Lytechinus pictus: one gene and its partner. The protein of the gene in region 1 interacts with the protein of each later gene in a biochemical or structural test. Links are inferred from orthologs where the notes say so. Each region holds a gene or a part of one and is shown on either strand. Other genes may lie near its edges. The genes, in order: ataxin-3-like and E3 ubiquitin-protein ligase CHIP-like.

The links.
Region 2: of the proteins of ataxin-3-like (region 1) and E3 ubiquitin-protein ligase CHIP-like, one has a biochemical effect on the other in vitro, tested with the Homo sapiens proteins (6 studies listed by BioGRID, with this or other methods). The link is inferred for Lytechinus pictus from reciprocal best matches to the Homo sapiens genes ATXN3 and STUB1.

The regions. Positions count from the first base shown.
Region 1 is NC_087251.1:48,003,474-48,019,792, forward strand, and holds the start of ataxin-3-like, read left to right. Parts: upstream 1-8,644; 5' UTR 8,645-9,182; coding exon 9,183-9,206; intron 9,207-14,428; exon of another isoform or gene 14,429-14,557; intron 14,558-15,504; coding exon 15,505-15,553; intron 15,554-16,319. Other genes in the region: serine/threonine-protein kinase Nek2-like, read right to left, coding at 3,229-3,324. UniProt on the Homo sapiens protein: Deubiquitinating enzyme involved in protein homeostasis maintenance, transcription, cytoskeleton regulation, myogenesis and degradation of misfolded chaperone substrates.
Region 2 is NC_087254.1:34,710,598-34,727,536, forward strand, and holds the start of E3 ubiquitin-protein ligase CHIP-like, read left to right. Parts: upstream 1-8,030; 5' UTR 8,031-8,333; coding exon 8,334-8,435; intron 8,436-12,446; coding exon 12,447-12,645; intron 12,646-12,993; coding exon 12,994-13,159; intron 13,160-16,939. UniProt on the Homo sapiens protein: E3 ubiquitin-protein ligase which targets misfolded chaperone substrates towards proteasomal degradation.

The DNA of each region.
Region 1 (16,319 bases):
ATTAATTTGTATTTTTTAATGAATTATTATGCAAATAACACGAAATTTGCCCTAAATTTGTTTTTTTGTGTACATGTTTTTGCCTTTATCTCAATTTGTATAGCTATAGTAGATTGCTAATTTTTGGTGGGAGTATCAATTTCTAACAATATCTACAATTTAAAAAATATATATAATTAATTTCTTATGTATTTTATTGTTTTTTCTTATGTATTTCTTTGTTTTTAAAACTAAAACCTACACTTACCATATCAACATAATTTCTTCAGGATGAGATCAGATCAGTATTCATGAATGAATGATAATAATGACAAACTATCAGCAAATTTTTCACCCAACCTTTTCCTTACTTAGCTAGTGCCCATTAAAAAAAAATCTGAACTTCTCAACAAGCATCAGCAAATAATAATTTTGCAAGCAGATATCAGATAACTTCAAAATGTGAGTAAAAGATTTTGCTGTCCATCTGAATAATAAAGGCTTCTGAGCTCGACTTTTTGTTTAAATCTCAGCAAAACTTGTGTCACTCAGTGTGTCTTCATGGTCTTTGTCCGCGAAGATAGAACACACTACAGACAGTATACCCAGTTGTTGCGTGTCCGGACAGGTTGTGTGTCCGGACGATCAATTTTAGAAAGTCATTTGGAAGAATTTACAAGCGAAGTTTCGTAATTTTTTAGTACAAAATGTTAGGAAATATTATAAAGAACAAAATAGAAGATGATTACAAGTATTGAATTCATATTTTAGTGTAATACAAAGACAAAAAAGAAGGCTTCAAAAATATAAAGTGTCCGGACACCCGACCCCCCATCCTACTAACACTAACAGTTTTCCAAGACACTGCTCACTCGTTGATCGGTATAGAGTAAATAGAAGTTTGAAATCGCCCTGTCCCTGGCTCAATTTCTCAAGCAACAATCATGGCATGATATGACATGTCAATCAATTGCCAATTGCAATCACATTTTCATCAATAATCTTTCCGATCTTGCTCGTTGCTGGCAATTAATGCAATTTGCCAGTTATTCACTTGGTATGTACTAAAATGTGAATAATTTATCAGCCCTGATGAATATTTTTGTAACTGTCTTGATCAAAACTTAAAGACATAATAATAAGCCAGGGCCCAGGTTTTCGGGTCAGTGCAGAGTAGCCTGGAAGCTTCTGGAGAGTAAAAGTACTACTGTACGTAGACCAAAAGCTTCAGTCTCTGTATTTTGGTTGTTCCGCTGAACTACGTTGGCTCCACTCACCATACATAGACTGAAGGGGATGGGGCCCCGTACCTACAGCCAACGTATAGTGAACTAGCGTTTTATAGATCGCGATTTAAAACTGTTTTTTAAGCAAAATTGAAAGTTTCATGGTTTCCATTATCAGGGAAATATAAATAACTTAAGTAATTGCATACCTTGGGCCGGAGTTATTGAAAAAAATCCTCTGGATGATTGAGAAATCTGTCATCTAAGACATTTTCACCTGACCTGACGGTTTTTCTTGCAAGTTGCCATCTTGAATGACGTCATTATCGTATTAACTTAATGTCTCGAATCGATATATCGCGATTATAACTAGTACTAGTACTAGTATAACTAGTATCGTTTATCTTCGGTTTCGTTCGCATATGGAGCAGATCGTATAATATCGAAAGCAATATCGATATCACATTCGTGATTGTTGACGTTCGTTTGTAAATATTTTATAGTTTGGCTGCCATTTTGACCATTTTTATCGTGTTTGACCATTTTTATCGTGTTCAACCCAATTAAACATCGGTAAAGTATATTTTTCATGCCTTTTTCATCTATATCGTTTAAAGTATTTAAATGTTAGAATATCAAGGTCTAAAAGTTTGTTGTTTATACATCCTTAGATTGTAAATTCGATGTGTAAAATTACATCAAACTTTGGACTGTGAATTGACAAAAGGGAGGGAATGAGAACACATGCGAGCCCACACGTACACCCTACCGTAGGTAAATGGCACTCCTAGTACCAATGAGGTCCAACATTACATGTATGGACCTCATAGGCGACATCAGTAGTATTTTTGGTTAGAAATCTCTGAGAACAGGATATTTATATATTATATCACAAGTGCAAGCTATATTCCTTTCTCTTATTTAAATTATAATTTTAGAGTGTAAATGCATCGTTAGCAACAACAAAAAATGAAAGAAATGAAGGGGAACTTACATTTTCACGGCTTTTTCCTGATTTTCTGGGCAGCTGCTCTTCTCTTCTGACTCGCGATCGAAGCTGATATGAAGATCACGTGATTCGCGTTCTCGTCAGCTGATCGGTTGGTTATTCTTTTCGTCAGACGTTAATAATATATATTTTATAATGCTAGCATTCATCGCTAATTTAGGTGAAAGAGATTGAAGTTAAACAGCGCCAGGTCGGAATCATAATTATTTTGGAAGAGTGTATTTATACACTCGATCTCATACCTGACGTAGACGGCGCTATTCAACAAATGCACAATCTTCAATATAAAAAATAAAACAGAAAGAACGCCTTGAACACAGGCCAAAATGCCTAACGATTTCTCCGCGGCATTAACAACTATCGTAAAGGGCGCTCCATTTATCAATAAAGATGGATGCTAAGGCTGTCTATGGCGACAAAATTTGCCGCAAATATTTACGAAGAATTGTGAGAAATGGTCTGAAAATGCAACAAAAGAACCGGTGAGTACCGATTAAACATTATCAATTTATTTAATAGAACATACTTAATGACTACAATGTAACAATTTCTAGATAATATTGCTTAGTTCTAAGCTAGGGAGGCCCAAACGCGCGTGAGCGGAGTCCCACTTTATTAGCACGGGTAAGTATTGCGGTGTCGCCTAGAGTGGTAAATCATAAATGGGGATTACAGTAAAATGTCAGAAATTGTTGAATAAATCCCCAGAAACGACGGTTATTCCTGTCTATACTGTACGTAGGCTTACTCTCCATGAAGCCTGAGACGAGATGCCATAGGCCCACACATACCGAGTATTTTAGAGACAACAATGTTGTCTAGTCAGTGCAGCCAGAGCTAAGCGACCTTCGCCGCATCGCAGGCTCGCTCGCGATCGTCCCGCCGCAGGTAGCCTAGTACCATACCGGTATCCTCCCCACCACACACTATTTAAATGCCCGCCAAGCGCAAGGCGCAAGCAAGAACTTAGAAGCCGAGCCTCGGCTCGAGCCGAGAATAAAAAAGTTTACTTACCTTTCCGTCGCTTTTCCGACGTACTTTTCTGCATTTCCCGTAAGAGCCACTCCCGATCGTATAAAGAATATCATAATCGCTCAATTTTGAAGGCATCTTGGCGTTTGAATGCCACGATTGTAAAAAAATGTGTGGTCGATGGTCGTCCGTGGTTAAGGTTGTCGATCATGAAATATCATGCACGCACAATATTTTGAATTCACGCCAGCTGATTGACATTGTTTTTGATTGGGTAAGCTTGCGAAGTGAGCAGCCTATTATTGGTAGCAAATAATGCGTGGCCAATTTGATAAGTGGAGCACAATTTGGGAAGAGAACTTTGTACCAGAAAAAAATATATATTGGTGAAGGTTTGATGGAAATCCATAAAAAAATTAAGAAAGTCATAAGAATTTTAAGTTTTAGATTTTTACGTCATATACGAGCAGCTGCCCCGTATTTTTTTAATTTCAATCTTTTAATGGTTCATGATGATTAAACTTTTTTTTTTCTTTTAGGAGCGGCCTTGTGAAATAATTATTGTCTATATTGATATACTAAAGGTGACCAAAAAAAATGAAAGTGACAAGCCATTGTTTTTTTACAAAAAATATGGGGAAGCTTATGCATGTAAATAAAAGTTTGTTTGCTTGTTTGCTTGCATTTATTTCTGCGTTCAAAAACACAATACAAAAATATTTACAATTACAATATACAAAATAATTCACAATATAAACAATGTAGTCATATTACATGATAAATACAAATAAGAGTGTGAGTATAAATTAATCTTTTATAAATGTAAACATATATATATAATGTAATAAATGAACGCAGGAGACCACCATCGTGAGCGGTTAGGCTTGAATTGATGGCGGCCTCATAAAAAGATTCGTGACTTAGATTGATATTTACTGGTCAAGTGGGTGCATTGCAGGTGCAGGTGCTGTATAGCAGTTGAGTAAAATCAGAATGTTAAATAGCGAATGTGGATATTTGAGTGAATGTTTTAATTTGGAGCGAGGGGTTGATAAGATTGAATGATAGTTTTCTTTAGAGTGGCTTTTAATGAGTATATGGTAGAACAAGTTTTAATATTGTTTGGAAGATCATTCCAAATGTCTGGACCATGATGTCGAATTGATTTAGAGGCAATTAACAGTCTGGGGTTAGAGAGATGAAAGTTTCCGGATATGCGCGTTGGGTAAGTATGGACAGAACTATTAAATTTAAACATGTTATCAAAAGACGAAGGGAGCAGATTGTTAATATATTTAAACATAATTATAGCTATTTGAATAGTATATAAGTCGGCAATTTTTAATGTCTTTTGTTTAAAAAATAAAGGATCGGTGTGAGCCAAATAATGCGATCCTGTACAAATGCGAATTGCTCTTTTTTGTAATTTAGAAATAGAAGTAAGTTTTGTGGAACCACAATTAGCCCAAACAACGTTACAATATGTTATATACGGGAGTATTAACGAATTATACAATAGAAGTAAAGTTTTATGAGGTAAAATAAATTTCAACTTGGAAATTATTCCAATATTTCTCGAGATACATATAATGATATGGTGCAGATGTTCATTCCAAGACAAAGCTTGATCTATGATGACGCCTAAAAATCTAGAGTGAGTCTTCCGCTCTAATGGTGTACCGTCAATCTGTAAGTGAATTGGAGTATCGGTAATATGAGAATGTTTAAAATGGATGAAGTGGGTCTTTTTTTAGTTCAAGGATAGTTCGTTTGCTTTAAACCACTGTGAAACTTTAATCAATTCAAGATTTAATATGTTATTTAGGGAAGTTATATTTTTATGAGAAAAAAAGATATTTGTGTCGTCAGCAAATAATACAAATGATAAAATAGAAGATGTGTTGATAATATCATTGACATATAATAAAAATAAAAGCGGGCCTAGAATGGAGCCTTGAGGGACACCACATTGAACTGAAAGTGAACTAGAATCGTTGCCATTAAATGTGACATATTGTTTTCGATTTATTAAATAATCTTTAAACCAAAGGAGTGATTGACCTCGTATACCATAATAATTAAGTTTTGAAAGTAAAATATTATGATTAAGTGTATCGAACGCCTTACTGAGGTCACAAAATATACCAATGACATGCTCTTTGTTAGCTATGGCGTTTGTTATTTTATCGTAAATTTGAATTAAAGCCAAGTTTGTTGAATAATTTTTTCTGAAGCCATATTGATTAGAAATTAATAAATTGTGTTTGTTGATAAATTCATAAAGTCTATTATATACTATTTTCTCGAGGATTTTGGATATACTAGGGAGTAGAGATATAGGGCGATAATTGCTTATTTCATGAGGATTGTCTTTTTTAAAAATTGGATTGACTTTGGCGATTTTGAATAAGTCAGGAAATATACCTTGTGATAGAGATTTATTAAAAACATGACTAAGAGGGTTTGCAAGCGGGTGAATTATTTCTTTTAAAAGAGACATACTAATTTTATCATGCCCATGAGATTTTGAGCTATTAAGAGACCTTGTAATGTTGAGAATTTCTGTGGGGTTCGTAGGGTTCAAGAAAAATGAATGTGGATTAGGTTCGGGGAGATAATCCGTGAAATGCGCATTTTGGCTATTGATCTTGCTTGCAAGTTCGGGTCCGATATTTGTGAAAAATGAATTGAATGAGTTTGCGTGAAGGGAAGAGTCAACTTTGGTACCATTTAAAGTGATATTATCGGTAGGTGGGGGATCTGCATTTGTTCCCATTACTTCTTTGATGATTTTCCAGGTAGTATAAGTATTTGAACTGGCATCTTTTATTCTATTAGTATAATACATTTTACGTGATAAACGAATTAATTTTGTTAACTTGTTGCGATATACTTTGTATTTTTTTAAATTGGCTTCAGTAGGATTGCGTAAATGTGACTTGTAAAGGCAATTACGTGTCTGTATCGATTTTAATAAACCTTTTGTTATCCAGGGTTGTTTGGGTGTTTTTCGATTATTTTTTACCTTTCCTATGGGAATATTCTTTTCATAATAATGTTGTAATTTATTATTTAGGAGATTATACGATGTGTTTGCGTCAGTTTCATTATAGACATCCTCCCACCCCTCAAGTAATAAGTCTTGCTTCATTAATTCAATATTACGTTTAGATTCTTTTCGATATGAGCGTTGGTTAAATGATAAATAACTTGTAATCTTTGATGGATTTCCTAAAACCTTCAACAATTTTTTTAAATGCTATTTTTATAATAAATTTCCCCGAACTTCCCCTTTAAGTAGTGAATTAGTATACTACTATGCGAGTGTGATCTTTCAGAACATACATGAGCTAGATGATCAGTTCAATTTCAACGACGAGAGTGGGGGGGGGGGGGAGAAGCTCGAAGCGGAGTTGAAAAGTAAGTGGAAAATGGACCATCGTCATAACCATCTTATCGTCATCAGTCATTATCATCTTCATCTTTTTCATCATCGTCACCCGTCATGATATCACCATCTACATCATCATCATCATCGTCATCGTCACATCATCATCACCATCATGCCTCATCCCCCTCGTCATTAAAGTACAATTACTTTAAAGGTTAAGTCCACCTCAGAAAAATGTTGATTTGAATCAATAGAGAAAAATCAGACAAGCATGATGCTGAAATTTTCATCAAAATCAGATGTAAAATAAGAAAGTTATGACATTTTAAATTTTCGCTTATTTTCACAAAATAGTTACATGCACAGATTTAGTCATATGTAAATGAAAGACTCGACAATGTCCCTCACTCACTATTTCTTTTGTCTTTTATTGTTTGAATTGTACAATATTGCTAAATTTACAGATTTGAGTCATTTGACAATAAAGACCAACTTTACTGAACCATGAAATGTAAAAAAATGGCAATTCCACGTGTTCGATCAGGGCGAAAGAAAACTTTGTTTCACAGGACAATGAGGACAAAAAATAGATCTACAATGTTTCATATTTCATATAATAAAATACAAAAGAAAATGAGTGAGCGAGTGATGTCATCAGTTCCCTCATTTGCATACCAACCGGGATGTGCATATAAATATTTTGTGAAATTTATGGGCGAAACTTAAAAATGTCATAAGGCTTTTTTTATTTTACATCTGATTTTGATGTAATTTTCAGTGTTGTGCTTGTTGGATTTTTCTCTTTTTATTCAAATCCACATTTTGTTGTGGTGGACTTGTCCTTTAACGTTGAACTAAATATCAATAAAATTTAGTCACAGAGTGATACAACTTGCCCAGAGACAGTGTGCATGCACTGATATTCCTCTTTTAACTTTCAGTTTTACTTGCACCATCCCGGCCTCCTTCCCTCCTTCCTCTGCCTCCCTTTACCTCACTTTTATAATTTTATTATTTACTATTAAGTTTGAATATTATTTTCTCTTAATTTTGTAGTCGCGTATCGCTTATTTGCTAAGGGCTAATCCAGTATTTTCCAAGGGGAGGGGGCACATTTTTCAAAGGAATTAAAATTTGACAAGCAAAAAAAAAATAAAACAACAACAAAAAAAGGTTGTCACTAAAATTTGAAAGTCATTATTTCCTGCTTACACTTTGACAAGCAAACAAAAGAAGCCCTGATCACTTGTGTATGAACGACATATTTCCATGAAAAATATTTGCTGTGACCGCAAGGGGGTGGGGCACACTTGTACATGAACGACACATTGAAAATATTGACTATATGACTCTCAAGGGGGGGGGGGGCACGTCGGCACGGAAACGCCCCCCATGGATCTGTCACTGCACTGATGTTCTATAGTGTTTGTTTATAAGCTCGTCCAGTCCGCCCCCTAATGAATGTATACGTATGAAACTATTCTTGTATTTTGTTGAACGGAAAATAAATAAATCTAATCATCATCATCACATCATCATCATATCATCATCATCATCATCATCATATCATCCTCATCATCATATCATCATCATCATCATATCATCCTCATCATCATATCATCATCATCATCATCATCATCACCATCATCATCATCGTCGTCACCATCACCCATCATTATCATAATAGCTTCGGGGCGGCGGGAAGCTAGGGGCAGGGGCGGATCCAGGATTTTCCAAAATGGGGAGACAAATTTTTTTTTGGGAAATTTTTTTTTTGACAAGCCCGCGCCCCCCCCCCCCAAAAAAAAGGTTTTCAACTACAAATTAAGGATATTTCGTACCCGATCAATTTGACAAGCAAAAAAAAATAAAAAATAAAAAATTCAAAAGAGGGGGCACACCATAGCACTTTTACATGACAAATTTTTAATTTTGCTTCTCAAAGGGGGGGGGGGGGGGGGCACGTGCCCCCCCCCCCCCTGGATCCGCGCCTGGCTAGGGGCACCGGGGCAAGCTAAATACGAACCGTAGCTAGCTAATGATTTTTCAAGTAGGCCCTATACGTCTGTTGAACACAGAGTAGGGAGAAAAAGCAAAGAGTATAAAAAAACAGTAAGCGAATTAAATGAGAGTACCCGGTATATCAAAAGCATGGAAAAGAGCGGTCGCGGTCTGTGTCGTATAAATTCGAATTGATATAAAAATGTAAATCATTACAGAGGTATAGATCTTTTCAACAGCAACGCAAAGCATAATCGCGTCGTTGACTTTACGGATGGCAACTCGCCTACAAATAAAAATATTACCCACGGAACTCGCACAGCAGCACCGGCACCACGGCTGGGGTTTCTCAAGCTACCTTTCCAATTCCGCGCCGGGGAGCTGCCGGCGTGCGGCGCTGATGAAGTGCGGTGGCGCAGCGTCTTGTAGCGAGCTGCTAGTCCGTAATAACTAACTTCACGTCTAGCTACATGAGAGAGCTCGAGAGATGAGCTGCTAGATTTAATTTAGATCTAGGCTAGATCTACTAGGAATAGGGATCTGTCAACTCTATCACTAGGACGAATAGGAGTCGAGTCTTAAGCCAGACGAGGCCGAGCTGAGGATGGATTCTATCTTCCATGAAAAGGTACCGAATTAGTTTTTGTTAGAAAGATAAGATAAGATTTTAATTTTTTATTAAACTCTATCGACCCTAACCCAGAGAGCTCCAGCCCGCGTAGCGGGCTGGAGCCCAGACGCTCAGTGTGCAAACGGGCATTCAGGTGAGAGTACCGTGAAGTTTGGTCAAAATAATTTTGATAATACATAATTAAAACAGAAATTAAGCACTTACCACGATTGTATGGATGATAGTCTAACGAGTGGCAGTTTCCTGACATCGAGGCACAGACTGGAACCTCAAAAAACGATCAGTTCTGTCGCGGTGGCTCTCCTTCTTTCAAAATTCATAGCAAAATGGCCGTTCGAGAGGGTGTAGGGCGCATGCGCGAATTTGACAAAGTCTATATGCGCTAGTGCTATACTAGCCCTCGATCGGCCATTTTGTGTTGAATTCTGAAAGAGGAGAGCTACCGCGACAGAACTGATCGTTTTTTGAGGTTCCAGTCTGTGCCTCGATGTCAGGAAACTGCCACTCGTTAGACTATCATCCATACAATCGTGGTAAGTGCTTAATTTCTGTTTTAATTATGTATTATCAAAATTATTTTGACCAAACTTCACGGTACTCTCACCTGAATGCCCGTTTGCACACTGAGCGTCTGGGCTCCAGCCCGCTACGCGGGCTGGAGCTCTCTGGGTTATATCGACCCTAGCCTAGGGCCTAGTAGTATAAAACTAGTAGTAAAGTATAAACCCAGCGCCAGCCCAGGGAGCTCCGGCCCGCGACCGTGCAAAACGAGGGAGACAATCGGTTAGATTGGGGACTCAATAGTAATCTTAATAAAATATGGAAGCAGAAATTATGCATTTACCACGATTATATGGATGAAGGTCAGGTCTATCGAGACACACAAATCCTGACATTGAGGCACAGACTGGAACCTAAAAAAAAAACAAAATATATAATAGCCTCGGTCTCGATTAGCCTGCCCTGGCCCTGGAGGCTTCTTGGGAGTAAAAGTCTTTCTACTCAACGTAGACTTACTTATTTAGCCTGGAGGCTCCTGGAGAGTAAAAATCAGTCTACTATACGAAGGCTTACTCCCCATGGAGCCTGGAATTGCTTCCCATATGGCTACACTCCTACAGTACAAATACCGTCCCAAAACCTGAAAGTGAAACTTTCGCCCCCGAGATTTCTACTATCCCTCTAAAAGATCTAGGCCTAGCCCTAAATCATGTACATGGGGTACAACTTCATTTTCGACATTTCTACGATATTGATTTCATTTTTAAACAAGAATTCATTAAAAAAACGAGAAAAATGTTATGAAAAGACGGGAAGAGCTTACGGCGGTGTTTACGTCGCCATCTTGATTTCTTTGTCTTTCGCTTTGAAGTGAAGTTTGGGCACCCAATCATACAAAGACTCCTCGGAAAGACACCTCAAAGTCAATAAAGTCTCTAGCCTAGGCCTACGTTAGACTCCAGGGGCCCGTTTCTCAACAAATGGACAAGTTAGTCATATCTTTATCCACCAACCACGGAGTTAGTTCCAATCTTACTAAACCTGTTTCTCGAAAGGCTTCCTAACTAGAATACCTTGATATCGATACTATCGGTAAAAAGAGCAGACGAGACGTAGCCTTAGTCACAAAATAGCATAATTTTCAAAAAGAAAAATTATGACATAATTGCAAATATTATGATGAATTGGGAAATAAGTCTTTTCAAAATAGTAGCACAGGTGAATTTAGACCAAAAGCTTCAGTCTCTGTATTTTGGTTGTTCCGCTGAACTACGTTGGCTCCACTCACCATACATAGACTGAAGGGGATGGGGCCCCGTACCTACAGCCAACGTATAGTGAACTAGCGTTTTATAGATCGCGATTTAAAACTGTTTTTTAAGCAAAATTGAAAGTTTCATGGTTTCCATTATCAGGGAAATATAAATAATTTAAGTAATTGCATACCTTGGGCCGGAGTTATTGAAAAAAATCCTCTGGATGATTGAGAAATCTGTCATCTAAGACATTTTCACCTGACCTGACGGTTTTTCTTGCAAGTTGCCATCTTGAATGACGTAATTATCGTTATTAACTTAATGTCTCGAATCGATATATCGCGATTATAACTAGTACTAGTACTAGTATAACTAGTATCGTTTATCTTCGGTTTCGTTCGCATATGGAGCAGATCGTATAATATCGAAAGCAATATCGATATCACATTCGTGATTGTTGACGTTCGTTTGTAAATATTTTATAGTTTGGCTGCCATTTTGACCATTTTTATCGTGTTCAACCCAATTAAACATCGGTAAAGTATATTTTTCATGCCTTTTTCATCTATATCGTTTAAAGTATTCAAACATTTAAATATTAAGTTTTAAAAGTTTGTTGTTTATACATCCTTAGATTGTAAATTCGATGTGTAAAATTACATCAAACTTTGGACTGTGAATTGACAAAAGGGAGGGAATGAGAACACATGCGAGCCCACACGTACACCCTACCGTCGGTAAATGGGGATTACAGTAAAATGTCAGAAATTGTTGAATAAATCCCCAGAAACGACGGTTATTCCTGTCTAAGGTGAATTATGCATCATACATACTTAAACCATGAAGACTGGAGCATTCAATTGCAGAGAAAATTAAATTATGAATAATTCATTTCATGACTAAAAAATCACTTGTGGACGTTGAGATGGGTACCCCCGAAAGACCCAATTTTAATAGTTTACGAAAGTAAACCATAACGGTTTTCTTTGCAAAATGATGATAATTATACGGACTTTTACGATTCCAAACGTCATCAAAATATATTTTAACGAAACATTTTTAATCATTGATACCGAAAGATACGATATTAGACAAATTATATGCAGAAATTAGTGATAGAATTCATCCAACTGTTAATAGGGGTCTGAAAACAACAAATACGAGTTCAGTTATGGATGGCCTGACGTGGTAGAATCTTTATCGATTAAATCATTTTACTATTTCAAAATGAATGGTTTTGTGGCGTTTACCAACAGTTTTTATAGTTTCTTTGTATTACAATTATCATTGAATGCATCAACCCACTTGTTTTGTGATGTAATTTCAACCTATATGATTGATTACGTAAGATTATAATTTATAAATTTCTAGGCACTTTCGCATGTCATAGTCTACCCACGTGATGCCACTACGTCATTAAGAAAGAAGTTACGACAGGTTCGGAGGTGTCATAAATATTTAGTGAGGTTGTTGTACCCGATCTTGGTAAAGAGGGCTTCGTGAAACGGTTAGCGGACAAGTAGCTCACTATCTCCGATTTAGTCAAGAAGTTAGACTTATGACGGTGTTGAGAAACGGGCCCCAGGCGTATGTCCAGCGTAAGGTGACCAGATCAGGGCAGTCAAATTACGGGACACTTTGAAGTAAATATGTCGACAAGGGCCCGTTTCTAAACATATCTAAAACATTCTAGCCTATTCTAACCATTTTTGTCTCGCCTGCATAGCAGAGCGAGACTATAGGCGCCGCTTTTCCGACGGCGGCGGCGGCGGCGTCAACATCAAATCTTAACCTAAGGTTAAGTTTTTGAAATGACATCATAACTTAGAAAGTATATGGACCTAGTTCATGAAACTTGGACATAAGGTTGATCAAGTATTACTGAACATCCTGCCTGAGTTTCAGGTCACATGACCAAGGTCAAAGGTCATTTAGGGTCAATGAACTTAGACCATGTTGGGAAAATTATTTTCAAAATCTTAACCGAAGGTTAAGTTTTTGAAATGACATCATAACTTAGAAATTATATGGACCTAGTTCATAAAACTTGAGCATAAGGTTAATCAAGTATTAGTGAACATCCTGGTCGAGTTTCAGGTCACGTGATCAAGGTCAAAGGTCATTTAGGGTCAATGAACTTTGGTCAAGTAGGGGGTATTTGTTGAATTACTATCATAACTTTGAAAATTTATGGACCTAGTCCATGAAACTTGGACATAAGGTTAATCAAGTATTAGTGAACATCCTGGTCGAGTTTCAGGTCATCACGTGATCAAGGTCAAAGGTCATTTAGGGTCAATGAACTTTGGTCAAGTAGGGGGTATTTGTTGAATTACTATCATAACTTTGAAAATTTATGGATCTAGTCCATGAAACTTGGACATAAGGTTAATCAAGTATTAGTGAACATCCTGCCTGAGTTTCAGGTCACAAAACCAAGTCAAAGGTCAGTTAAGGTCAATAAACTTAGGCCATGTTGAGGTAATTGTTGAAGTGCCATCATAACTTTGAAAGTTTATGGATAGAGTGAATGAAATGTGGACATGGGTGTAGTTGACAGTCTTAAGTCTCTGTTCAAATGTCATTTATGGTCAATGAACGTGGTATTATGTCATTATATGAATGATGTTTTTGTGAATGATTATTTTATAGTAGTTTTCAAAGTTAGCACTGCTGCTATATTACATTGCGTAATGCAGGCGAGACTGCCAGAGGCGTTCCACTTGTTTAAAATATGCCTAGGCTAGGCTAGATCTATATTTTCACTAAAACATGTATTTCATTGAAAACATAACCAAAAGAATCTTTCTTTCCTTCCTTCCTTCCTTTCTTTGTTTATTTCCGCCTTTCTCCCTTTTTTAATTCTCTCCTTGTCTTTAAAATTATCTTTCCTTCCTTCCGTTTATTCTTTCTTTTATTATTTCAATGATACACGTACACCTTTTTAAATGTTTAGCATGGTCTCCTACAAAGTACATGGAAACGTATGCTTATGATAGGAAATAAATTACAGAGCTATGATATTTTTGGTCATGATGGACAAGACAAATAACTTTGATATAAAGGAAATACAATTAAACGGTTTCATGTTAGTAGTCATGTTAAAAAAAGTGGAAAAATTAGTCAATGGTATGTAATACTGTAAAGCTGCTAAACTTGTAAATTATTTTTGGGAAAGTTACATGTAAATATATTTTCTGGTAAGTATTTTCCTACTATCTGAAAATGTATTTGCTCAACCATGCAAGTACGTCTCCAGACAGGTCCTCTCATTTTTATTTCTTCTCAGCTTGAATCTTTCATTTGGGTTTTGGTTTCTTTTAAATGCAAATTAGTCAGGAGCAAGAAATGTTCTGAATGTTTAAAAAGTTTTTGTCTGGACAGGAACAAAAGAAATGTACAGGTCTATTGAACTTTATAAAGAGGAATGCTACATGTACATGCTCCAGTGAACAAGTGCTCACTGCACAGGTTGAACTTGAAGCTGACTACATGTACATCATGTGTACATGAAGTGTTGAGAGACACACAAGCTGTTTGTATTTTACATTGTATGCTGTTTTCTGATGTCTGATCCTGATATCCTACAGTGTAAATATGTACTTTGTTGATTTTGGACACTGCATTGAGTCTTTTTATTTCCGTGACTTTTGTATGATGTAGGCCTATATTCATAAAAATAAGCCATGTTTCTATTCTTTAATGGAATTCATGTTTGCGATTTTAAAAGATAAATGGAGCTCATTTTGCTTCAATTTTAATGGGTTTCCCCCCATCATTCTAATTTTTTCTTTTAGTTTTGTACATTTTCATAAGTTTTTTTGCCGTTGTATGTTATGATTTATTTAATCTTTTTTGTATTGTTTGGTATCAATCGTATCTACCATACTTTTTAGAATCAAGTCTACTTTTTCAACAGACTTTTTCAACATATTTTTGGGCCATAGAAAACACCTTTTTCAGGTAGGAAAGGGGTTATGTTTTATTATATGCTTTTCAGATGCTTTTTTATCATCCCCGCAGAACGTTGGGTCAGGGCATCAGAAACGTTTGGACCATCTTAGGGAAACCTCCGTCTTATTCAGACAGATGAGCTGTCCAAGCATATGATAACTAGGGAGAGTACTTTGCAGTCTGCAACCAACTATCTGTGCTAAGAATACATGCTACACAACACAATGGAATAAAGTCTTAAGTTAGAACATGATTTAAATGAAGGTTTCCATGGCGACGAAGAAGAGTGTAGTGGTTTCACGGTGTGACGGTACACCATGTATTCTTTCATGGTCCTGACAAAATAAAAAAAAAAGAGATTGATCCCATCTCATTTTCATTGGTCTTTCTTTTGCCATTTTGTGACTTTGGATTCAGACCAACATATGCCCACAAAGGAATACATATGATGATGTACCGTGAAACCACTACACTCTGGAACATGATTATTGTAACGAAAAGGATAAAAAGTAATCATGTGATGTATTTTTTTGTGTATTCTATTTAATCTATTAACAGTTTTACCCCCCTTTCATTTCTTACAGCAAGAGGGCTCTCTATGTGCCCAACATTGTCTGAATTCATTATTACAAGGTGAGATAAGAATGATTCAATTTTTATCATTATTTATAATTCTTACCCTAATACTCGGGGGGGGGGGGGCACTGTCAAATTTACATCGGTACTTCCTAGTGCCTCAATATTTCAAAACAAGATTTCATGATTTCAATACCCAAGAAAATTGAAAACGATAAAAAAATACATAAATAATTACCAAAACTTTTTTTTGAATTGATGAGTGAGTTATGAAAGACATTTGTACCAAAAATTGCTGTTTTTTAAGGCTTTATTTTAGTGAGAAATACCAAAATCTATGATTTCTTGCATTAATAAGCATAAATTAATTTATTTAACCCTAATTCTCCCGGGGGGGGGGGCCATAATGGCCCCCCCCTTGACAATTTTCGCGATATATCTGCTGCGCAAATTTTTTTGACCTCGCCGCTCACTGACTTTTTACTTTCAAGTCTCGCGCAAATTTTGAGACCAAATTTGTGACGCCCGGGTACACGGTTACGACATTACGCAACATTATGTAAGTGCATGTCAGACCCAAAATTGCTCATAAACGTGATTTCATGTACAAATCCAATGCAAATTGTGTATTTAGCCAAAATTCATAAATGTATCATTATTTCTACTTTTACTGATTAAACTGAATTAATTTTGCCTTGTTTATGATCAGAACTAAGTCTGGAATGATTTCCATTGAAAAAACAATAAAAAACAAAAAGTAAAAAAACAAAGAAATACATAAGAAATTCATAAAACAATAAAATACATAAGAAATTGATTTCCG
Region 2 (16,939 bases), on another chromosome or scaffold:
GTGATATAGTTTTGTGAATATTACTTTTTCTTCAAAAAGTCAATTTTTTTGAAATTTGACCCACATACATCCAAATGTTTGCCAACTTCATGAATGTGTGGTAACGTAATATCTGCAAAGCGAGAATTAGGTCCATCCATAAAACAAAATTTTAGTTCGAGTTTGTAATTCGGAGAGATGACTTGAGTTTATAGTGTTTTACTCAAATTCCAAGCAAAGTCGAAATATTCCTTACACGTTATTATTGTCTTTTTTATTTATTATTTCCATGGGAAAATAGAAATGGTAAGTGAATAAGTACAATGGATAAAATGTTAAAAACATAAAGTCTATCATTTCGGAGGTGATTAGATTTTAGTTCCTAATCGCCGAAGAAGCTTGGTTTTGTATCAACAGCTGAAACTAAATGTAATATGTTAACCCCCTCCCCCCACATCCGAAACTATGGAAGCTTTTAAGTTTCACTTGTCATTATCATGATTATGGCGAAAATGTTTAATCTTACCAAGTCGACTTATCTTGCAGTCTTACTAATCGTGTGATTTGGCATCATTATAAAATGTTAGGAGCAACTTATGTTAATTGTTAAGTCAACTTGGTCAGATAAATACGTTGCCATGTCTACATAATTATACTGTTGCCCAGTCAAATAAATTTCATTTATCATATAGGCCCTATCTTATTGGAGGAGGGGCATAGACGGATCCAGAGTACGAAGAGGCCCCTCCTACAACCCCCCCCCCCCCTATTAGCGCTGGAAAAAGGAAAAGAGATGGGGTAGCAATTAAGAGAAAAAGAAAAGGATAAAAAAATTCCATGAACCCATCCCCCCTTAAAGGGATAAAAGAAAAAAATACGAGGAAAAGGATAAAATGTTATTTTCTGAATATTTTTGGTTAAAAATCAATCAGAAAATAAGATTTGCATTTTTTTTATTTGGCTCGCCCGCTTAAACTCCTTTGCACTTTTAAGTGATTTCGTCACGTACACGCGACATGTTGTGCCCATCTTTTTTAATTAATTAATTTTTTATTTTATTTATTCATATTTTGGGGGGGTTCATTACTCCGCTGCTGGGTCTGCTCCCAATTCAGTCGTTTTAAGTAAAGAAGAGAACAGTTATCACTGGTAAACAATCCCATTTGATACTAAACTCGATGATGCACACGAAAGGAAAGGTGCGAAGTATGACTATGTTGTGAGGAACGGGTTAATGTGTCTTTCCATGGGATAGAAGTCCAATAGGATATGAATGGGGCTATAAATCAAATTTTCAAGCCAACAAAATATTCTCGCTATTTGAGTTTTTATTTTTTTTTCCATTTTTTTGTGAGATACGCATCCTAAATGTTCAAAATTTAAAAAGAAAAATGTGCTGAATATCTAAAAAAAAATTAGCTCGCACTCCGCTTATGCATCAAAATTGTTGAGCTATACACCCATTCAGTTCATGGCCAAGTGCTTAGGCCTAGAACGTCCAGTTATCATCTCATAATGATTAATATCAACAATTTTTAGTTGTGCTTCGCGTTGATTTCGGTGAGATTATGATATCATTTTCGTGATTTAAGTAGATTTTATTCACTCTATCGACCTCCTCTCGGGGTATGAGACTCAGAGTACAACATATAAACAACATATAACAAAATATAGATATTTGCAAACAGTTATAACTTCATATCAATATAATGTACTAGTAATACATTATACAATCTATTTACACAAGAAAACGAACAAGTCGTTTCACTAACCTACCACTTCGGGTACGAACTGATCTACTACATGAATTAACATTACAATCATCTTTCTTTGATTTTTGACTTAATTCCAACGTAATGAGGTGAGCAACTTTAGCTATTTTTTTAGGACGCCCACTTTTTTAGTATTAAAAAGCTTTTCCATGACCAGAACACTTCGATGCACGGCGTATACTCTGTGTTAACAATCAACTTCTCTATTTGTGAAAAAAAGGACAAACAAACAATTAATAGTGATACCCGGTAGTGATATTCGTCTCCTAAGTCAGAAGAATGGCAAAGTATACACTGCATTTCAGAATTAGCATGGGATGTGAGCATTGGAACGACCTTTGGTAACAGGTAGTGTACGTGATCTACATCTGAATTTAGAAAGTGTAATAACGTCTTCCTTATTTAAGCACTGTAAATATTTTTTTTCATATTCATGGTTACTTTTAAATATTCTGTAATTTTTCGAATACGATTCTGGGCAAAAATATATTGTACCCTGGATTTGATAATATTCATGACAATTCTTGTAACACTCGAGCCATTGAATTGATCAAGCCAGAAATCTGATAGGCCTGTAGCGACCGCACAGAAACACTGTTAGTGAAGGTGTTGTTAGTGCTAACAAGTCACTAACAAATCAGCCACTAACACCATGAGCAGAATGAACGCACAGAAAGCGCTGTTAAGCACAGGTGTTGATAGTGGGTTTGAGCCTTATAGTTAGGCAAAATCTATGACGTACTATAGTGATCTATGTGTGGATTGATACAATATAAGGGCCTTTATCCCATAGGCTCAATGTATTATTCCCATTAACCCAGGGTTCGGATTTGCACCATTAATTCTAACTTTGTGATGACATTGTACCGCGGTGTTAATTACTGAATTCTGATTATTTTAACCATAGTAGGTCCATGTTTTAACATAATACATAGACCTTAACATCGATGAAAAAATTATATATTAACGGCAAAAGTCAATAACTGTTTGATAGGGGAAGGGGGCTGTATATGTTTGCTCGTAGAGTGGAAGAATGACTTCCGTCTATGGAGGTGTATATAGGGAAGCAGGATGTGAAGTATAGTCATACAAACAATTGAACATTAATCAAATAAAAAAGGCATTTAAAAATATGTGATATAGTTTTGCATAACTTACGTAAAAATTATATTACATATTATATTTACTATATAGGCGAGCTGATGATGCCATTTGTCATTTCCCCACTTCATAATTTTTATCATGGACCAATGAAAAAGATGGACGATTAACGCGAGTATTTCTTTGATCCAATGATAGTCACCGTCATCTGGTTATGTGCATCTTAATGAGAACATACAGGTGTTGTTACATTAGCAATTACCATGACTACCAAGGGTATCTGATCACTCAAATACGGAACAGTTTCCCGGTCCTGATTTTTGTTGGCAGATACCCTGTTTCAGCATTTGCCTTTCAGTCAACATGCTTCATAATAATGGAGCAGCAAACTTGAGGAGCAGACGATTTTTATGATATAAAATATGATATTATTCGATCCGCTAACTACCGCTCAGACATAAGGACCTCAATAACACTGAGAGATACACGATCTATAAATGTTGTGTGCCACGTATATCTGGAATATTATGGAGAAACTTGGGAAAATTGAATTTTAAATGGTAAACAATCAATCACAATGTTGCCTCTATATTAAAATATGCGGACATTTCCCCAAATAAAACACATGGAACTAAGATTACCAAAGGTTAACAAAAACTGCACATCAATTTTCCATTATTTCATTGATTTGTTATCAACTGCGCATATAATTTGTGAAATATAAATGTCCAATCACTAACTGCTTCAGTCCCTTCTCACGGTGACCATCATAGGACCAAAGAAGACTAGTATGAAGAGAATGTTATTCAGATGACAATTACAGTCACCTGTTAGTGAATTCATTATCTAAGCGATGGATGTCCATCTCTTCATAGGTCCATGTTTGTATATGAAATCGTGTTCATTTAAACTGAATTTGTCCTTACAGTTGAAAGTAAATATGACCACTGCTTCAGTAATCATCATGACCATTTACAAGTTTTACATAGGCCTACGTGTAGTGTTGAAACATAAATTTACCAGTTCACGGTCAAATCAGGAAAAGGGGATATGACTTATATTGGTTTTGCAATCACAATCATAATCACAACATGTACATAATGGGGGGAAACAAGGTAATAACAACAGTAATATTAATCATGAAATAAGAAAATCGGACTTGGCTTCGTAATTCTATTCTAGGATATTCATGGTGGCATGATAGGCATCAATGTTTTCAAAAATACTGTACAGTATTCACTTCATTCAATTCATATTTTATTTATTATTCTTCATTATTTTCCATTTAAGAATTATGTTATTGATTGTAATTACAGCCTTCTCATCTAATTTCATTCTGTTTTCTCCCACACGTATTGGGGATTGGAGCATTGGCGGATCCAAAGCAGTAATCAAAATTTTTAATATAAACATGCCAGCCATTTTTACCCAAGTGTGCCCCCCCCCCCCCCCTTTGAAGCAATAAAAGACCCTTTTTTGCATGTCAGTTTTTGTTGGGACAACAATATCTTCAATTTTAGACGTAAACTTTTTTTTTGCTTGTCATACTCTTTCTCGGGAAAATGTGCCCTCCTCCCCCTTTCCGGGCCCCTTTTGGAAGAAACTGGATCCGCCCCTGGACTGGAGTACCCTTTTAATTCTATCTAGGTCTATTTTAAAGCACTTGATATACAAGTTTTATGCAAGACACGCAATAGATATTCACTAACATTGTCACTATCGGTGCCCTTGGCACTGTTAGTGAATAGTTCAAACATTAGCGCTAATGTTAGCTTCTGTGCGACCTTGTAATGTTAGTCTAACAGCGCTAGCTAGTGATTGGGCTAACATTATGCTTCTGTGCGGGCAAAACCTCGCTAACAGTGCCGGTTAGTGCTCTGTTAGCACTAACAACGTTTCTGTGCGGTCGATACTATCGATTCAATGTATTTTCAATGAATTTTAGCCAAGGAGCAGTGGCGTAACAGGCGGGGGGCAAGCTGCCGCCCCCTGGCGGATTTCATCGGGAAAAGGAGAAAAGAGAGGGAAAAGGAAAAGGAAAGGGGAAGGAAAGGGGAAAAGGAAAGGGAAAGGAAAAAGTGACAAGTGACAAGAAAACGAAGAAAAAAGAATTAATGGAAAAAAAAGGAAAGCGGGAAAATAAACGAAAGAAGAACATTTGAGAAAGAACAAATCATTACAAAATGGGCCTGTGTAATGCACCAGTATGATTAGTAAGAAAGGGAAATAAATTAAAAGATGACAAAACGGCAAACAATAGCTGGAAATGAAGGTAGAATGGAATTAGCCAAAAGCTAAATTGGAAAACGAAGAATAGGGACAAAAAAAAGAACTTAATAACACGACCGGGCTACCGAGGATTGAAAATAAAGAGCGGGAAGAAAGATGGACTGATACAACATTGTGCTATAGGCTTGCTAAATTTTATGAAAATAAGCTACCGGGCTCTGCTCCAGACCCCACGCAGTACGTAGGGACTCTTCATGTATAACCTTCAAATGGCTCTATATATAACACCCCTGGAAGGATCCTTCCTACATTAAGCTTTACGTTCCATCACTGGCGTACAGGCGGGGGGGGGGGGTTCTTGTTTCCACACCCAAGAGGAAATACAAGAAATTATAGGAGACAACGTAACGGAACGAATGGAAAAAATGAAATGTGTTATTTGCTGAATATAATGGAAAAATCTGTCACATGATTAGTATTTTAATTTCGATAAACATTTTTTTCCAGCTCGCTATGCTCGCGTTTTTCCCGCGTTGCTATATTGTGCCCCCTCAAAATATTTGATTCATTACGCAACTGCAGTGGGATGAGTAAATGTGTTATGTAAAAGCTATATTCTGTATATACCCGCGATTTGATTAAAAATAGCGGCAATCTGCGAGGTTTAAAATGGCTTTGATAACAAGAAGTTCCGGGGGCTCCACCCTGGTCCCCAACCGCATAGTACTGACGTATATGATTATGGCAGGGTTGGGTCATGGTCCCCAAAAGTTCTACAACCAAGAACAAAAAAAAAGAGGAAAGAAAAGCAAAGGAAACGTGTAGGATATGATTTTATTTATTGAATATAATGTCAAAAAATATCTCAAAGTTAGATTCTCATGAAAAGGTGATTTTTTTTTCTCGCTCGCTTCGCTCGCTCGGGACGTATATTAAGAAGCTTTTTAGCACATGCGCCATACTGCGCCCCTCGTTTCTATTTTTTACTTTCACGCTATACTGCCGCAAAGAATCATGTTCACAGTGGCGTACAGACCAAAAAGGGAATGAAAGAGAGAAGGGTGAAATATATTATGTCAAAATCTATCACAAAATTTGATTTTTGAATTAAATATGTCACAATTTTTGCTCGCTCGCTTCAATCGCTAGCAACTTAAAAAAAAGGATAAATTATGCCCGATACGCAATATCTGGCCCTCTCAAAATTGTCGCCTCAAAACACCATGATATGACCGGGAAATGTTTGACTCTTGCCCCCCCCCCCCCCCTGGCCACCAACCCCTGTTACGCCCCTGCCAAGGAGCTACAGTTATAATCTGTTAGCTCATCTAACCTAAACATAAATTTCAGTATCACACTTGAATATTTGTTCTCATGTCATTTTAAAATTCTCAACCAGAAGCCAATTACTCTACATTTATAATGATTCAGAATCAACCCCGTCCTGTCTCCCCATACACCATAGTGTGCACTTGTTTACAAATAATATTGTCCTAAGAAACTTTCTGTGTAACACTTCAATCTGGCTTATGTCTTCATAACCCCATATTTCGCTCCCATACAACAGGATTGGTAAAATCAGATGGTCAAATAAATGACACTGAATATCAACTGACAATTGCATTTTTTTTTTTGGGGGGGGGGGGCTTTAGCTAACAATGATAATGTTCTTCTCGCCTGTGTGACTCGTTTTTTTTTAAGGTACAATTATTTATTTTATCCCCAAGTAAAAAAAAATCATAAACGACTTCAATCGGCTCATTATTAAAAGTGAAATAGGCCCTTCCTAACTTTACCCCCAGAAAAAATGACTATTTTGGTTTTAGAAGTATTTACAGTCAAAGTTGAAGTGACATTTTCTGCAATAATCGTGAACTGAGTTCAATGCTGACTGCAACTCATCAGGGGTTTCTGCCAAAATGACTGTTTCATCAGCATATAAAATACAAAATAATTTAGAAAATATTCCAAATCCTCATCTTGTAGGACATTACAGAGATCCTCAGATAGCAAAGTTCAAGCCTGGATAAAATCTAGAGATATATGTTCCTGAAAATCAATAAAGATGAAAGATTTTCACCTTGTCTTACGCCGATATTACAACTATAAAAGTCTGACATGTTTACAGACACATGATTTTGCATATACAACATTTAATACTTTTCAGTCCATTTACCTCTGATTTCGTCATTCTAACCACAAAGATTGCCCATCAACTAAATCAAATGCTTTTTGTAGTCTTAAGGCACAGTACACACGCCTCTTTTTTGTAAATAATAGTCAACAATAGCCTTCGAAGCAAAAACTTGATCAACAAATTGTAGAATACAGGAGGAGTCACTGCAAATAGGCCTTAACGTGTCCCTTTTCAGGTCAGTATATATACCGGTACAAAATTTAGGGCGCGCCGGAGCCGAAAAAAAATTGTGTCCGCCTTTGTCTCCCCGGAAAAAAAAGTCCTTTACCCCCGACTCGCACCCCCCCCCCAAACGGTTTAAAAATACTGTTGCCGCCACTGATTCCATCCCAGACGTCTGGGGAAGGGAGGGGAATGTACATATTTTTAGTTAATTCAACTGGTGGGTTCAAAGACCACTTTGCAAAGATGAGTCAGAGATGGTACGTAATAAAGTTGATATAGACCCACTGACGCGACCCACAATATATAAGCACATTCAAAGTTAAGAAAGAAAAGAAACACAATTACAGGCTATAAAAACATGTAGGGCGCATCATTGCATATGGAAAGTCCCCTTTTAAAAGAAAAAAATATTGCTCATGCAGTGTAGGCCTATATACATGTAGTTATAAAATCTGTGCCTATGATATATCTTGATTTACCTTTAAGTTAATTTATTGTTTACACGCAGTGCCTTGACAATATAATAAAAACAAATGAGAAACGAAAAGGCCAGTAGTTTTATATTATAGCCCCCCCCCCCCTTTCTTGCGCTGCTGCAGATTCGATTACGTCAGAATCAGATAATGATCGAGAATAATCCAAATGTGATTCAGCGCAGAGCGCTATACCACTTAACTTAGCCCCTAGAAGATTGAAATAATGCATAAAGTATTTTAGACCTATATTCTATGGACAGAGATACATATCGAGAGCAATGATTGATTGATAGCCGATATAACTGTCATCAATTGTCGATGTTGACAGAATTACACTACAGAGAAGAAAATCTAAGCGCACTAGCACTGTAGGTACGCGTGCTGGTGATCGAAAACTGACATTTGTGAAAGAAGATGAACATAAAGATGAATGCTACGGAACTAAAGGAACAGGGGAATCGCTTTTATGGATCACGCAAATATGAAGAGGCCATTGGATGCTATAACAAGGCCATAGTGAGTATGATATTTAGCCTTTGAATGCATAAATAATCACAAATATTGCTTACAATGTACGAGCTTTGCTTACTCTAGTCCCACTCATAAACATTTGTGTAAGTAATTTAGCAAGGTCATGAAGATATTTGGGTGAAAACCATACGGCATACCAGACAGCTGGCAGCCGTCCGTTTCGAGGACTCTATTTACATTAAAAAAAATTCTCCTCGTACACAGACGGCTCGCGATCGTGCAGCTGCCATTAGCATGATTAGGGGGTTAACAATGCAAAATCCCCCCGACGCCGACGGGGCTCATCGATTTTTGTCTTTAATAACAATAGTCAATATGAAAAGAACTGGACCAAAATAAACGTCATTCCGTTTTCGCCTGAAATGCACCAAAACGGGGAAAAATAATTTAAAAGGGGGGAAAAAAGGGACTTACTTCGGCTGTCGCGCAACTCTCACTTCCCTGGTTTATCCAAACTAAGTTAAGTCCAAGTAAAAAAAGAAAGTAGTTGATCGTCCTCGCGCGCATCTTTTTTGGCCACCGCATGAAATATATTACTTTTTACTATTTTCAAAAATTTGCTAAAAAATATAAAAAAGTGATGTTTCTCGTCTGCGCCTGCTTCCCTTTTTGATTGCTGCATCAATTTTCTTGATATTAACAATTTTTATGGCTGCTGAAAAGCGAAAAAAATAAACAAGATTTGCGAGCAATTTGCTCTCATGTGCTCTGGGATCTCTCGCAACTTCCTAAAAACAAAAACAAGTCCGATATCGCGGCTCGGTCTGGCGATCACTGCTGTAAATACACAATGCCTTTTAAAAGGCCACCGCACACCTTATGATTGGTCTGCAACCCAATGTTTAAAGGAGAATGAAACTCTTGGAGCGAGTTAGCTTTTGTGAAAGCAGAAAAATCAAAGAATAAGATCAACAAAAGTTTGAGTAAAATAGGACTAGCAATAGAAGAGTTATGAGCATTTGAATGTCGAGATCACTAATGCTATGGAGATCCTCCCATTGGCAATGCGACCAAGATCTATGATGTCACAGATGAACAACTCTCCCCTTTTGGACACTGAAAATATACCCCAAAACATCTCTTTTTGCTCATTCTAATCATATGACAAACGATTCATCAATGATATAATGTTGTGAAACCTCTGTACTTGTCCTCTCATAAAGAGAACACCTCACCTTGTGATAGACTCTATAAAAGTGAGAATATAAGTGAAATAAGTACTAAAGTAATGAGGGAGTTGTACGTGTGTGACATTACAGATCTTGGTCGCATTGCCAATAGGAGGATCTACATGGCATTAGTGATCTCGACATTCAAATGCTCATAACTTTCTTATTATTCATTCGATCTTCCTCAAACTTTCAACAATATATTTCTTTGATTTTTCTCTTTGATACGGATTCAGCTGGTTTCAAGGGTTTCATTCTCCTTTAAATGAAAATTGCATTTGATGAGAATATTGAGACATGGAACATCTAATACTGTGGAAAGTTCTAAATCATTGAAGGAATGCGTAAATTGTTCAAAATCTGTGACTATACTACACTCCTTATTAGAATAATTTATGAAAATTCAATAGTAACATTGTCATAACAATCACACGATTGGCTGATATTTGAAATCAGTTTGGTCTTGACTGAAATATAATGCCTTCCATTTTTCCAAAATTTTGATTTAGTATTCCCATAGTTACTTTGAAACTTAAATGAAAAGATTCTTTTCATTCATACATGTACTTTTAAAAAATAAGCAAATTGTGATTTCTTTCAAATTACATGTAGATCGTTGACCAGTTGTAAGGGGGGGTCTTTGTATTTGGCAACCAGTCAATTTGACTATATTCGCCATCATAGATATTTTTCAAGTTTATTTTCTTTGAAAAAAAAATTATTTAAAAAAGATTCAAATCAGGGCGCGACAAACCTGCTTGCCCGCTTGCCCAGGGCAAGTGAAATTGACGTGTGGGCAAGCATTTTTCAAAGTCAATTGCCCGATCGGGCAAGTGCTTGTTTTGAAAATGAAAAAGATAAATTGACAGTAAAGTTTAATAATTTTTGATAAATTGCAATTATCCATCAATTATCTCTCATACAATGTCATACCAGTAAAAAAACAGTGGAAACATGTCAAATCAGCGCCAATTTACCGACATTTTATCGCCAGCGGTCCCGTTCGATGGGTGCTGCCATCTTACTTTCTAAACTACACTGTGCGCATGCGCTACTAATCGACGAAGGAGCTAGCTGGGGAAACCCCTCTCTCGCCCTCTGAGCGCATGCTCTACATGTACTATGGACGTACACAAGCGATCGCGAGCCAGTCGACTCTCGAGCTAGATCGCGCTGAATGCATGCAAGCTTCGGACTGACTCGGCCAGGATCAGGGTGACCAGACGTCCCGTATTTTATTCATTTCTAAAACATTTTAGTTTTTTTTTAATTTTAAAAATATATATAAAAAAACACCAAATATCATTAGGATTTTTGTTATAAAATATGATTGGATTGTTTTTATTTGCTTGAAGTTTGAACTTTTTCCTCTTTCTTTCTTTTCTATCCTTCCTTCTTGCCCTTTTTTGTTACATATCTATTTTTATTTCCTGTTCCTTTCTCTCTCTGTTCATTTTATTTCTTTCCTTCTTTCTCCTACTTGCCTTCTTAATACATTTCCTTTTTTATTTCCTTCATTTGATCCTTCTCCCTTCCACTCGTTTTTATTTTCGTTCTTTCTCTCCTTCCATTATTTTCTTCTTTTTTTTCATTATGGCCTCCCTTCATTCTTTCCTCCCTCTCTTTCCTCCTTTCTTTCTTTCATTATTTATTTCATTTTGCCCTTCTTATTCTTTTCCCTTATACTTTCTTTCCCTTTCTTCCTTCATTCCTTCCCTCCTTCCTTCCTTCCTTCCTGTTTTCTTCTTTCTTTGTTTCTTTCTTCCAAGAATGAAGGAAACATTTTCTTTCCTTCATTCTTTCTTTCCTCCTCTTTTTTTCTTACTTTCTTTTTGTCTTTCTCTTCTTTATTTTGACTTTCACACATTTATTAATCTTCCCTTCTTTTCTTTTATTTTTTTCTTACTTTCTTTTTGTTTTTCTCTTCTTTATTTTGACTTTCACACATTTATTAATCTTCCCTTCTTTTCTTTTCTTTTTTTCTTTCTATATTCAATTCAAAGAATGAATCTCTCATCCTTCTTTTATTAGAGCTTTCTTATATTTTTTATTATTTCCTTCATTTTCCCCTTCATTTTTTCTTTCTTCTCAATTCATCTCTTTTCTTTCTCTCCTTCACCCTCCCTTCCAATTCTGTATATTTTTTTCACAAGTCTAACACTGTGTAGCCTTCTTTCTTGATCTTTTTTTTTGTCGATTGTCCTGTATTTCATTTTGTGAAATCCGGTCACCCTGGCCAGGACTCGGCTTCAACTTCAAACCAAATAAACAATGAGTCGTCAGACTAAAATAGGCCACTTTTGTCGTCGTGATTGGCAACCAGAACAACTTGAACAAGAGTCAAGAAAAAGAAATGCCAAAGGCAGCACCAGTAAATCAACTTCAGCCAGGACAGAAAAGAATAATTAAGAGCAAAATAATTTTCGAAAAAAAATCGGGCAAGCAGTTTTTTCTATCGGGCAAGCAAATTTTTTTATCACTTGCCCGACAGGGCAAGTGATGATTTTTTTTTTGTAGAGGCCTACAAATATTGATTTCTTTCTTCTTTAAAGAAAAATATTTTCTCTTCATTTTAAATTCCTTTTCCTTGTGTGTTGTCTCCCCTAGTCTATTTTCAGACCCAAAAGGATGGTGATCATAAGGCTTGGCATGATGACGTGCATGACACATTCTTCAGATGTATTGGTTACTGCATTGTCATGGTAACAACTTATTTTGGCAATAGGGGAAAATGCTATACTTATACATGTAAGGTTCTTGATGTGGTAAGGGTATTAATCACCTTCAGTGATATTTATAGTTTCTACATGTCTTGTATTATTTCTAGATGAAAAACCCATCGGATCCCAAGTTCTTTACCAATCGAGCACTGTGTCAGATAAAGCTGAGACATTGGGATCATGGTGCGGATGACTGTCGACACGCTTTAGAACTTGATCCCTCCAACATCAAGGCACATTTCTTCCTGGGACACACTCTAGTTGAAGAGGAGAGATACGATGAGGCCATCACAAGCTTTCGCAGAGGTATGTTTATGTATTCTTGCTAAGATATATAATGAATGCAAAGTGTTTCCCCCATAATCTCAAAACTGTATTAAGTGGATGAAGTGAACTTTATATGAAAACAAAAATCTTATCTCAAACCAACTCATAGGATGAAAAGCAGTGATGCTGTAGGTTTCCTGAGGGTGTGTACTATGATGAATATAGAATTATCCATGACCATGTCTCTTAGTTGCAAACTTGATCCTGTGTTTTACAAGTTGGATATTCAAACTATCATAAGTATTTGCTTGCCATGTCCTCTGCAAGACTTGAGCTGGCTGATTTGCCAAGTCCAGCTATCAATTGATGTTTATATTCCTCATATAGCACATGACCTTGCCAGAGAACAGAAAGTGAATTTTGGGGATGACATAGCTGCTGCACTAAGATCAGCAAAGAAAAAGAGATGGAATATCCTAGAAGAAAAGAGAATTGCACAAGAGATTGAACTGCAGACACATCTTATGAACCTCATGGAAGAAGATAAACAAAGGTAACTTTAGTTTTATAGAGTACCAAAGTGATGACATCACAAAAAACTTTTACAATTTCAGAGTTTTTGATACCATATTTGGTAGAGCACGATGAAAAACCCCCACTGCCAAAATTTGGTTGGAATCGGTCCATGGGGGCCTGAGATATGACCTCATGAATACATAATTAGCCCCATTGAAGTCAATGTATTATTGGCCTGGTTTCTTTCATGAGGTCATATCTTGGGGGCCCCATGGACCGATTCCCACCAAATTTGGGTTGTGGGGGTTTTTCATCATGCTCTACCAAAATATGGTATCGAAAACGTTAATATGCTTAAAGTGAAAATTGATGAAGTCGCACTTCGGTACTCTTTTACAGTATTATTAATCACCTGTCTTCTTCTGGCGTCTGCCTTACTATTGCTTTTAAGATCTTTCTTCTCTTGTTTCAATATCTTCCGTCTTCCACTCTTTCTCTTGTTCTGGGCTTATTTTGTTTTTTTTCCATGATTCTTTATTTTTACCTGTCCACAAGTCAGTTTCCGTTGAAAAGGTCCTCGGCTTTTCTGAATACCCCTCTATTTTATTTTTCTATTTTTATTTTTGGTGGGGATGGGATGGTTTTTTTCATTCACCTAAAATTGTCTTTTTTTTTTTCCAAAACTTCTACCAGTTTTATCTGAAACTATAAACTCACCCTCTGTAATATGGATACATACATGAACATGTATAAGTCTTTATTATAATGTCCCTTTAGCAGCACTTTTTATATTGATTTAATGTGGTATAAACCCAGTAGTAGTAGTAGTAGTGGTGGTGGTGGTTGTGGTGGTGGTGGTGGTGGTGGTGGTGGTAGTGGTAGTGGTAGTGGTAGTGGTAGTAGTGGTAATGGTAGTAGTAGATGTAGTCGTAGAATTAGTAGTATTAGTAGTAGTAGTGGTAGTATAGTCCAGTCAATCTAGCCAGATTAGGGGGGGGGTAACCCGCCACTAATTGCAACACTGGATATTCCACTACACATGCATATTATGCAAATTAGCCATTAAAAAATAAAAAATAAGGAAAATAATCCCAAGATTACAAATTAAATGTCCACAGCAAGTAATTTGAACAAAACTTTATGATGAATAAATAAGTTAGACTATGTTTTTATTTTGAAAAAGCTAGCAAATCTGCCTCATTAGCATATTATGCAAATAAGTGGAAAATGTCAAATTTTTATTTTTCTCACATTGATTGCAGTGAAAACATTTCAGTTGTTCAAATTAATATGCATGCAAATTTATACTAATATAATTTATATATTAAAGGAAAAATACTGGAAATATGTTCTCTGCTTCCTAAAGCCATGTTGTTAGTCTGACAAGATGATGGGATTGGCAAGAACAAAGCACAGTATTTGAATTGGTGTGTAGTTTGTAAGAATTGACAACCCTTTCTTGTATGGACGGGAACAACAAAGACTTTCTTGAAATTTCACCGTTTAAAGAGGGAGGCCAAAAAAGGCAAACTTATGGCAGGTAAGATCTGATGAGTAGTCTCATTAAGAAGTGTAGCAGAGATTCCATCTGGCATAGTAGCTTCATGCAGGTTGGTTTCTTTAACAACTTCTTCAGTAGTTTGGCTACACCTGCTTGACTAAGGATTATGTTATCTGGCCATGTCTGGGTCAGGACTGGGTCCCAGGACTTGTAGAGCAGCTAGCGTCATCATCATCATGATCAGTGGTAAATACTAAGACAAAAAATCTTTTGCCTTTAATAATGCTATTCCAATGTAGTCATAGCACATGATATCAAGGGCTCCCAACATGCTAATTGTTACAGCCTGGATCATTGTCAATCCAGTCAACAAATAACGTATTATAGGCTTGTCTGCAAACCCTTTTATGGTCCTCTTCAATGCATTGTAGCAATTCTGAGCTTTACCTTACTGATGCTTTTGGAGCTCTAACATGCGCAAGCTTTCCTAGCCTTCCTATAAAACTCTTTGTCTTCTCCCGACACAACTTATGTCCAGTGTCTCATTGAGGCAACTTGTGTCGGAAGAAGACATGGGTAACGCTTTGGTTCTTGTCAAAGTCCTCTTGATTGGCATTCAATCTCCTATGCTCGACTTGTCGGTTTCAGTACAGAGAGTTGTATGATTGTCCAAAGTACATCTGCATGACACTCTTGAAGTCAGCATTCCTCCAGAAGATCATCCTTAGTCGTACCATAATTACTGAAAGGTTTATTCCTCTGCATACCCTCACAGTATACCCATGAGTAACACATTGTGGCAAATAAATCCTGGAATGGGTACACACTGTTGATTCAATGTTGGATGGTATTTGATGGCGATGTAAAGGGTGTTCCATTATGTTGTGTCCACTTGTTGGAAAGGCAATAATGTGGCTTAGTCCTTCATCTGTTAAAGTCTACTTGTTTGTTCATTGTCCCACTGAGGAATTTCTATTTGCCATAAATATCAGGAAATTGGTATTATTTGCATACGATTTGCTTAGAAACTATAGCTACAATATGTGGAGATAGTTGCCATCCTTAGGAGATTTATCAAAGAGGAAAGAACAGAAAATTTATGCTTCATCCTAAGGCAGCAACTGGATTCAGCAAGAACGTGTAATCACGATTCCTGTATCTGAGAAAGATGTCTATATACACTTTAAGCCTTTATCATGACTTTATTAATGGCTTTCATGTCGCTCGTATGGGCAAATGCTCATTGGTACTCTTATTAACAATGCCCAGAGATCTCGTGATCCAAGCAAGTACTCATATTCACCACCAAGACAAGTGGTGTGCTACAAAGACCAAATATTTGAAGCTAACAGGCTTTTATTTGTACTGAGTGTGACATCTTGTGCTGATCAACTATACTAGCAAGAAACGCAAAGACTCTACCAAGTCAAGAGGAGAGCAAGACTTGGATGGAAATATGAAGCATTCAAGCAGTGGGACCCATGTAGAATTGACTCATCATTGCACAATATGAGTGGAGTAACTGCCCCGGGGGTAACTGCTCACAAAAAAAGTCAATATCAACCAAGCAAGAAGTGTAGGGATGGTCATCATGGTTACACATACTCTACATGGAATTTTAGAGGAAAGTATCACAAGTTTCCTTGAATATTTATAACATGCCGGATGCTTATTTGCATAATATGTAAATTACACTTCAGATATTAAGCTGATTAGTAATGTATTGGGCATTCTTAGTAATCACATCATATTGATCTAGACTGAAATGTTTTCATAACTGTTTGTGTGAGAAAAATCAAGATTTCTTGATTTTTTCCATATAAGGATGCTCATATATATATATATATATATTTATATGCAAATGAGGTAGATTTATTTACGATTTTTTTTTTTTTTTAATTGGAAGAATAAATAAATTTTTAAAACTTATCATGAGCTTCCGTTCAATTTATGTTGTTTTCTGCACTTGATTTCCAATATTTGGATTATTTTCCTTATTTGCAACTTATGGCTAATTTGCATAAAATGCAAATTTTGTGATTTTCCTATGCTTGTCTATTTAAAGGACTTTTAATATGGTGTTTAGGAAAACTTCATATAAGGCATTGCCATATTCCAACTTCAATAGATAATATACTTGCAATTTTTGAGGAATGTATCACCAGTTTTTTTTCTTGAATATTTATAGCATGTTAGATACTTATTTGCATAATATGCAAATTACACTACAGACACTTAGCTTAATATAAATGTACATGTATTTAATGTCCTTTGTAATAGCAGCATGTAAATTTCAACATAAATGACTTTTTCAAG